2 linked regions of the Mus musculus genome follow. The main gene of each other region encodes a partner of the protein of the gene in region 2 in a complex. Links are inferred from orthologs where the notes say so. Each region holds a gene or a part of one and is shown on either strand. Other genes may lie near its edges.

The links.
Region 1: Nme5 (region 2) and Dydc1 share a complex: the UniProt entries of both Homo sapiens proteins name them as parts of the axonemal radial spoke complex. The link is inferred for Mus musculus from reciprocal best matches to the Homo sapiens genes NME5 and DYDC1.

Annotation. Positions count from the first base shown.
Region 1 is NC_000080.6:41,086,276-41,089,924, reverse strand, and holds part of Dydc1 (DPY30 domain-containing protein 1), read right to left. Parts: intron 3,572-3,649; coding exon 3,512-3,571; intron 2,541-3,511; coding exon 2,436-2,540; intron 1-2,435. UniProt on the Homo sapiens protein: Functions as part of axonemal radial spoke complexes that play an important part in the motility of sperm and cilia. Plays a crucial role during acrosome biogenesis.
Region 2 is NC_000084.6:34,576,218-34,580,633, reverse strand, and holds the start of Nme5 (nucleoside diphosphate kinase homolog 5), read left to right. Parts: upstream 1-1,518; 5' UTR 1,519-1,557; exon of another isoform or gene 1,558-1,866; 5' UTR 1,867-1,947; coding exon 1,948-2,076; intron 2,077-4,416. Other genes in the region: Brd8dc (uncharacterized protein LOC271508), read left to right, coding at 390-440. UniProt on the Homo sapiens protein: Functions as part of axonemal radial spoke complexes that play an important part in the motility of sperm and cilia. Does not seem to have nucleoside diphosphate kinase (NDPK) activity.

The DNA of each region.
Region 1 (3,649 bases), on a different chromosome or scaffold from region 2:
GCTACCCTCATCATGTCTCACCCTCTCAGTACCCACAGAATGAAGTAACAAGACGTGCCTGTTCTAGCTTGCTTGCTTTCTGTTGCTGTGACCAACACCACAGCCAAAGCAACGTGGCAAGGAGGAGGAGGAAGCATCTTGCTTATACTTCCAGGTCACAACTCATCACTGAGGGAAGCTGGGGCAAGAACTGAAGCAAAAACCATAGATGACTAGACCAGGCCAGACTGAAAGAACAGCGTCACCTCCATTTCAGGACCAGGCCTGGCTTCAAAAGGAAAGACATCTATCTGTCTCAGGAACTAGGTTATAAGTCACCAGCTCCATAAAATTCCCCCATCCAAAGACAGCCTGGAGATAACCACAAGAACAGGGAAATATCTCAGGTTGACCATCTATGCTGGGCAGCCTTGTATGGTTTAGGTATCTCATCCTGTGGCTAAACGTTCATGACAGAGAAATGCAGACCACAGACCACCTGGCACAAGCCAATCAGAAAACAACCCATGGAGCATCCTCATCACCCATCAATGAAACCTTAGATTACCTAACCAACTCTCTAAGGTCTCACCAAATATAGAAGAACATAGCAGCCGACCAAAATTCTACTAATGTCACCACTTTGGCCCTACCAATCACATTAGAAATTACCTAATCCTTCTGGAAAATTCCTCTAGCCCTACATTAAAAAGGGCCAGGAGCTCCTATGGACTGGCCATTTTGGTGAATGGTTGACCCCTATGCATACTGGTTATTTCTGCAGAATAAACACTCTTTGTCTTTGCATACTATTTGAATCTGGAGTCTTCCTTCAGCAATTTTCAGACCCTAACAAGACCACGACTTGCCAACTGATTCCCTCACTTTCCTAATTTCTTATTCAGCCCAAGCCCACGGTAGCTCTCCTACATGAATTAGCATTCAAGAAAATGCCCCCACCGGCTAATCTGGTGGAAGAAATTCAAATTCGCCAGGCAGTGGTGGTGCATGCCTTTAATCCCAGCACTTGGGAGCCAGAGACAGGTGTATTTCTGAGTTCGAGGACAGCCTGGTCTATAGAATGAGTTCCAGGACAGCCAGGGCTACACAGAGAAATCCTGTCTCAAAACAACAACAAGAAGAAAGAAAGAAAGAAAGAGAGAGAGAGAGAGAGAGAGAGAGAGAGAGAGAGAGAGAGAGAGAGATTCAAATTCAATTCCAGGTATCACAAATTGACAACTAAGTGTCTTCTTGCTCCTGGCAAGACACTCCCCCTGATGATCTGATTCAGTTATTCATAGACCTTTCTTTCAGCCATAAACCACATGGGTATAAATAGTAGATTTCCTGGTCATTCTCCTGATAAGCACCTAGTGCTGTTCAGATCGCGTTCCTCCTCTAAGCAGAAAACTCGAGCAGGTGAAAAGCTGCCTTACTCCCCACTACGTCTGGCACAATGCCTGGCATGGACATCACAGTATGCGTGATAAATGCACATGTGCAATAATATACTATAAAAACACTTGTTCTCACTAAACTATGTATGTGTTTACAGAGTTTGTTCCAGAGAGCCAAAACGGTTCTTTCCCTATTGAATTTAAGGATTGCATATTTCACAAAATTATTTTACACACGTGTATTTCTTTTTTTTGGGGGGGGGGGTTGGGTTTTTCGAGACAGAGTTTCTCTGTGTAGCCCTGGCTGTCCTGGCACTCACTTTGTAGACCAAGCTGGCCTCGAACTCAGAAATGTGCCTGCCTCTGCCTCCCCAGTGCTGGGATTAAAGGCGTGTGCCACCACGCCCGGCGCACATGTATTTCTTTTTTCTTTTTTGTGATCTTGGTAGTTTTTATTGTTTATTATTATTATTATTATTATTATTATTATTATTATTATTATTTCTTTCATTTATTTACATTCTAGTCCCTCCCACTCCCTTACACATGTATTTCTAAGAAGTTTTGATGCTTTCAAATTCCAACTGTAAAATATATAGATACAGATTATTATCCACTGATTGAAACATAGACAGATATAGAGCTATACATGTAAATAGAGTTATGCCAGTGGGGCCTCCTTCACAGGCAGAACACCAGTTAAGAATTTGGTTAGCGGGGCTGGGGCAGTGGCTCAGCAGTTAAGAGCACTGGCTGTTGGAGAGGACTTGGATTTGAATCCCAGTACCTATAGAACAGCTCAGAACCTTCTCCCAGGGGATCTGGCACCCTCTTCTGGCCTCCACTGGCACTGCAGATGTATGGTACACAGACATAGAGACATACTGGCAAAATATCCATACACATAAAATAAAGGTTTAAAAAAATTTTTTTTTGATTATTAGCACCTGCACTTTTGGCCTTTTTAACATAAAGGAAACTATTATTTACAAACCAATCCCATACACACTAGACATTATCAACACAAAAACCAATCTGTCCTGGGATCTTGATACTTACATCAGATAACATTGGCTCATCAAGTTCTTCCACCCGGCTCAAGTTAGGCGCCCCGTACCGATCGCTGATCTCCGCTAGGGTTTTACCCGAGTCCATCACCAATTCCTACAGTCACAAAATTCAGTTTCTACTTTCACATGGCTTCAATATGAGCATGCCCCTTTTCTTTCAATTTTGAAATAAAATTTCTGAGTTAAGCACTTAAGACTCATCACTTTTAGTTGGTAGAATTCACGTCTACTACTGCCAGCTAATGGTATGAGAATTCTAGTATGAAGCACTAAAAACTATTTTTAAATCCACTTGGAATTTTAATACACATAATTTGTAAGCAATTCTATGGGCAACATAACAGGACATTGTAGCTTTAAAATATTCCAGTACAAACAGAATGTCCAAATTGTATTCACTTTGAAATTTGTTTCAAGACACTGCACACCTGTGCCTTATCACCAAAATATCCATCTGGGCTGTCACTTCCATAGGTTTTTTGTTTGTTTGTTTGTTTGTTTTTGTTTTTTGGTTTTGCTTTTGTTTTATTAAGGCAGGGTCTCACTATATAGCTTTAGGCATGCCTGGAAGGAATCACAACTTACCAGCCTGAGGCACTGTGATCACATATGTATGCCACCATGCCCATTCTGGTATTGACAGTGCCCTTATTAAAACTTTAGCCACTTGTGATGGTTTGTATATGCTTGACCTGGGGAGAGGCACTATTAGAAGGTGTAGCCTTGTTGGACTTGGTGTGTCACTGTGGGTATGGGCTTTGAGACCTTCATTCTAACTGCCTGGAAGCCAGTATTCTGCTTTCAGATAAAGATATAGAACTCTCAGCTCCTCCTGCACCATGCCTGGCTGGATGCTGCCATACACCCACCGTGATGCTAATGGACTGAACCTTGGAACCTGTAAGTCAGCCCCAATTAAATGTTGTCCTTATAATAGTTGCCTTGGTCATGGTGTCTGTTCACAACAGTAAAACCCTAACCAAGACACCACTGATACAAAAAGTAAGATTCTGTTCTAAGATATGTGTTCATGTCCCACGACACACAGTAGGTCTCCCCTCTCACCTCCGCCTGCATGGGCTCCTGCTCCTCACCCCTAGCCGTGCTCTCCATGCTCATCATGCTCTGCATAAAGTCAAGAAAACATTGAATACTGCTCATTTCCTTCCCATGTTTGGTTTTTAAGTTTTATTTTTATAAAGT
Region 2 (4,416 bases):
GGAAGTTCCTTGTCTTAATGGATCCGGATTTAACACACAGTGGGGTGAGGTTGTCTGGGAAGGCCAGCAGCAAGACGGCCGGAGAGGAGTTAGTTACGGTCAGGTCTGCTTTCAGAGGCCCGAGTCGTAAGGCTAGAAGCAAATCGGGTGCTGGACTCACTGACAATGTCTCATTTGTTGCAACTGTTGACATTAATGTACATGTATATTTCCCATAATTTGGAGAAGACAGAGTGAGTTCAAGGAGACTTGTAAGGATTTCTCTTTGGAAAGCATCAAATTTTAAAAGGTGTAGTTTTATCTGTTTGCCAATAAAATAAATACAATTGCATACACTTCCTCCTGGCCCTCAAGGTTCATGGTTTCCTGTCTGTGCATTGCTCCTGTAGGTTCTGAGTACTTGGCTGGATAAAAGGAAGGACTTGAGTAGTCTGGAATGAGTGCCAGCTAATGTGGTGGATGAAGAAAGGGGACTTTGTTAGCCTGGAACTACAAGTCTGGTTCTTTCTCAAGTTACAGCTCTTCTTAGGACTGGCCAGAGACGATGTGAAGACTTTCCCTCCCTCTCTCTCTATTCCCTTTCCAAATAAGGACAGTAATGCCTTGCCTCCTAACTAAGAAGCCAATGGTGCTTGCAGATGGAATATTTTTTAAAGGGGTGGGGTGTGGTGGGGTGGGGTACCAAGATCTGGATTTATGGTGTAAATATTGCTCATATTTTTGTTGCATAGACTTAGAAGTAATTTGATTGAACCTTTGTTTCTCTATAAATAAATATTTCGCAAACTAAAGATTTTGCTTGGTTTTTGAGTCAGAGAATCAAAACCTAGGCTTTCCTGTAAGTCCCCATTGCATCCAGCCTCTGCCTCCAATGGTGTGCTGGGATTAGGGGTTTCCACCACCAGACCACCAGGCCTTGCAAAGGCGGTTTCTAAACGGTTAAAGAAGCTGGAACTAGAGGGGATGGCATCACGTGGTGAAGCCCAGAAGGTGTTTGATGTGGCTCAGTGGTTAATTGCTTGCCTAGATTTGATCCTAAGCACCACCACCACAACCACCCAAAAAAAAAAAGAAAAAGAAAGAAAAAAAAAAAGAAAAAGAAAAGGAAGGAAAGAAAAAGTAAATAGCTGAGAGGTGTCTGATTTATCTCATTTACAGCGTGTGGATAAGGTACACATCCTTCAAGAAAGGAGGTCATCTAGAGAAGGTCTGGCGCTAAGGCTAAAAGGGTAAAGATGACCACTTGATTTCCATCCCTGGAAACCACAGAAACACGGGAAGGACTTCACAAAGTTGTTTTAACTCCACATCACATCACATCACATCACATCACATCACACACACTACACAGTAAATAAAATTGTTTTTAAAATTAGTGTGGGAAACGTTAGAAGTGTGTGTAGTACAAAAAGAATAAAATGTGCACGGCTAATTGTTGCCCTAGATTAAAACTAACTAGAGCCATTTAAAACGCGGCTGGAATTGGCCCTCTGCAGCCACCGTTAGGAAACCAGCTTTGGGTCTCTTAGCAACGGGCTTTGACAACACCTGAACAGAGTAAGTAAAGCTTGGGAGGGTCCTGCGTGGAGATTTCCCGAGGGCTCGGGGACTCATCTTTTCTGTCATGCTTAAGCCTGCACCAAGTGGCCCCTACGGGGTGGGGCCCCTTCACTAGGACAGCCGGCTAGGTGCCTTCCTTTACCCCTGAGAGCGACGCTGACCATCCGTCCTCCAACCTCAGTCAAGCGGCTAGGGCTCCCCTTGCGTGCAGTACAAGTCGGATTCTTGCAAAACTGCTCTCGTAGAAAAACATAGCAGTTTCCGTTTTTATAAATTAATCAAATCTAGCACCAAATTTTGCCACAGGCTGATTTTGGGACCAGGACTCCTGTCGTTGCTGTGGATAACTGGTTAGGAGATTTGAAAATTGTACCGGAAAACGCCAGAATGGAGGTATCAATGCCCCTGCCTCAGATATATGTAGAAAAAACCCTAGCCCTTATCAAGCCAGATGTTGTTGACAAAGAAGAGGAGATACAGGATATTATTCTGGGATCTGGATTCACCATTATTCAGGTAACGTCTGCTGTCTCTTTTATTCGTTTTCCGTTATTCCTATATAAATGTAGCCACCCGATTAGATCCTTAGTAACATTAAGTTTACATTTCTAAATATAAAGGTTATATATAACCTGGGCATGTGCTCCACACATGCCTGTGATCTCGGTATCAGGCGCTCGAGGCGGGTCAGCTATGTACTGACTTCCAAGTTTAGCCTGGGAGACCTGTCTCAAAAACAAACAAGATACAAGTAACAGACAAGTTTTTTCACACTTCAAAGGATGGAGAGTACGACATCAAAGAAGCCAACCGCCTTTCCTTCCCTTCCCTTCCCTTTCCCAAGTCAGCTCTAGGGAGGGGCAATGGCTTAGCTACATTCTTTCTCCTGGGTGTTTCTAACATTCTGGATCATTAAATGAGAACCTACTTATCCCTTCTAGGTTATGTGCAATATTCCTGTGCATATTTTGGTTCCTGGTGTCAGTAGGTTTATTTTTGTTTTGTTTTGTTTTTTTTCTTTTGGTTTTTGTTTTCAAGAAAAGATTTCTCCGTATAGCCCTGGCTGACTTGGAACTCACTAAGTAGCCTGGAACTCAGAGATCCCCCTGCCTCTTCCTCCCTTGTGCTGGAATTAAAGGTGAGCACCGCCACAGCCAGCGAACATTTAGAGTTAAAACCAATATTTGTTCTGTAGTTGGTAAACAAAGTCAAAGAAGTCAGGCCTCCCAGAAGACAGTGAGAGATTAGCTTGGACTTCATAGTGAGTCCTAGGCCATCCTGGGATACATGGATGCAGGCCTTGGAAGTAGTGACATATGATCCCAGCCCTAGACATGGTAGGACTGGAGGATCTGAGTTCCCAGTGATCTTGGGCTTCACAGAATTCTTTTTTTTTTTTTTTATGTATGTATGTGAGATGGTTGTGAGCCACCATATGGCTGTTGGGATTTGAACTCAGGACCTTCAGAAGAGCAGTCAGTGCTCTAACCCGCTGAGCCATCTTGCCAGCCCCTTCACAGAATTCTTAACTGTCCTCTAGTAGACAAGGTCTCCAACTAAAAGACAAGTTTATAAATAGATGAAATAGAGCTTAGTGTTTGTAATATTTTGTTTGAATTTTATTCGAACTATAATTTTAAGAGAATAAAACATTTTTATTCTCTTAACTGTATGAATATAGCTGAGTTTGGTGCTTTTTATCCCAGCACTGAGAAGCAGAGATGTATGTTTCTGTTGAGTTCAAGGCCAGTATGGTCTCTATAGCAAGTTGCTAGCCAGCCAGGGTAACATAGTGAGACTTTTATTTTTTTAAGATTTATTTATTTTATGTATATGAGGACATATACATAAAATGTAGCTGTACAGATGGATGTGAGCCATTATGTGGTTGTTGGGAATAGAATTTAGGACCTCTGTTCACTCAGTCTCTGTTTGCTCCAGCCCAAAGATTTATTTATTATTATAAATAGGTACACTGTAGCTGTCTTCAGACACACCAGAAGAGGGCGTCAGATCTCATTACGGGTGGTTGTGAGTCACCATGTGGTTGTTGGGATTTGAACTCAGGACCTTCGGAAGAGCAGTCTTACATGCTGAGCCATCTCAACAGCCTGAGACTGTCTTAAATTTTTTGTTGTTTGTTTTTTTGAGACAGGGTTTCTCTGTGTAGCCCTGGCTGTCCTGGAACTCACTCTGTAGATCAGGCTGGCCTCGAACTCAGAAATCTGCCTGTCTCTGCCTCTCAAGTGCTGGGATTAAAGTGGTGTGTGCCACCACTGCCTGGCTCCAGCTAAGTTTTTTTTTTTTTTTAATATTTTTTATTAGGTATTTTCCTCATTTACATTTCCAATGCTATCCCAAAAGTCCCCCATTCTCTCCCCCCAGCTAAATTTTTTATATAGTATCATATTATCTATTTTTCTAAGTGTTTTAAAATAAAAAACAAAAACAAAAACAAACTGGGGGCTGGAGAGATGGCTCAGTGGTAAGAGCACTGACTGCTCTTCCAGAGATCCTGAGTTCAATTCCCAGCAACCACATGGTGGCTCACAACCATCTGTAATGGGATCTGATGCCCTCTTCTGGTGTGTCTGAAAACAGCTACAGTGTACTGACATGTATAAAATAATTAAATCCTTAAAAATAAAGAAATGAATGAAAAAATAAAGAAAACAGAGTTGGAGTGGGGTTGTGGCCCAGCGTTTGCTGAGCAAGTACAGGGACATGAGCTTGAATCCCCAGCAAGCATGTAAAAGCCAGGTGTGACGGCAGCACCTGTGTGTAATCTCAGTGCTGGGGCAGCAGGGCAGGAGAGTCCTGGAGACACAGTGGCGAGCAACTGTGGCTGGCACCCAG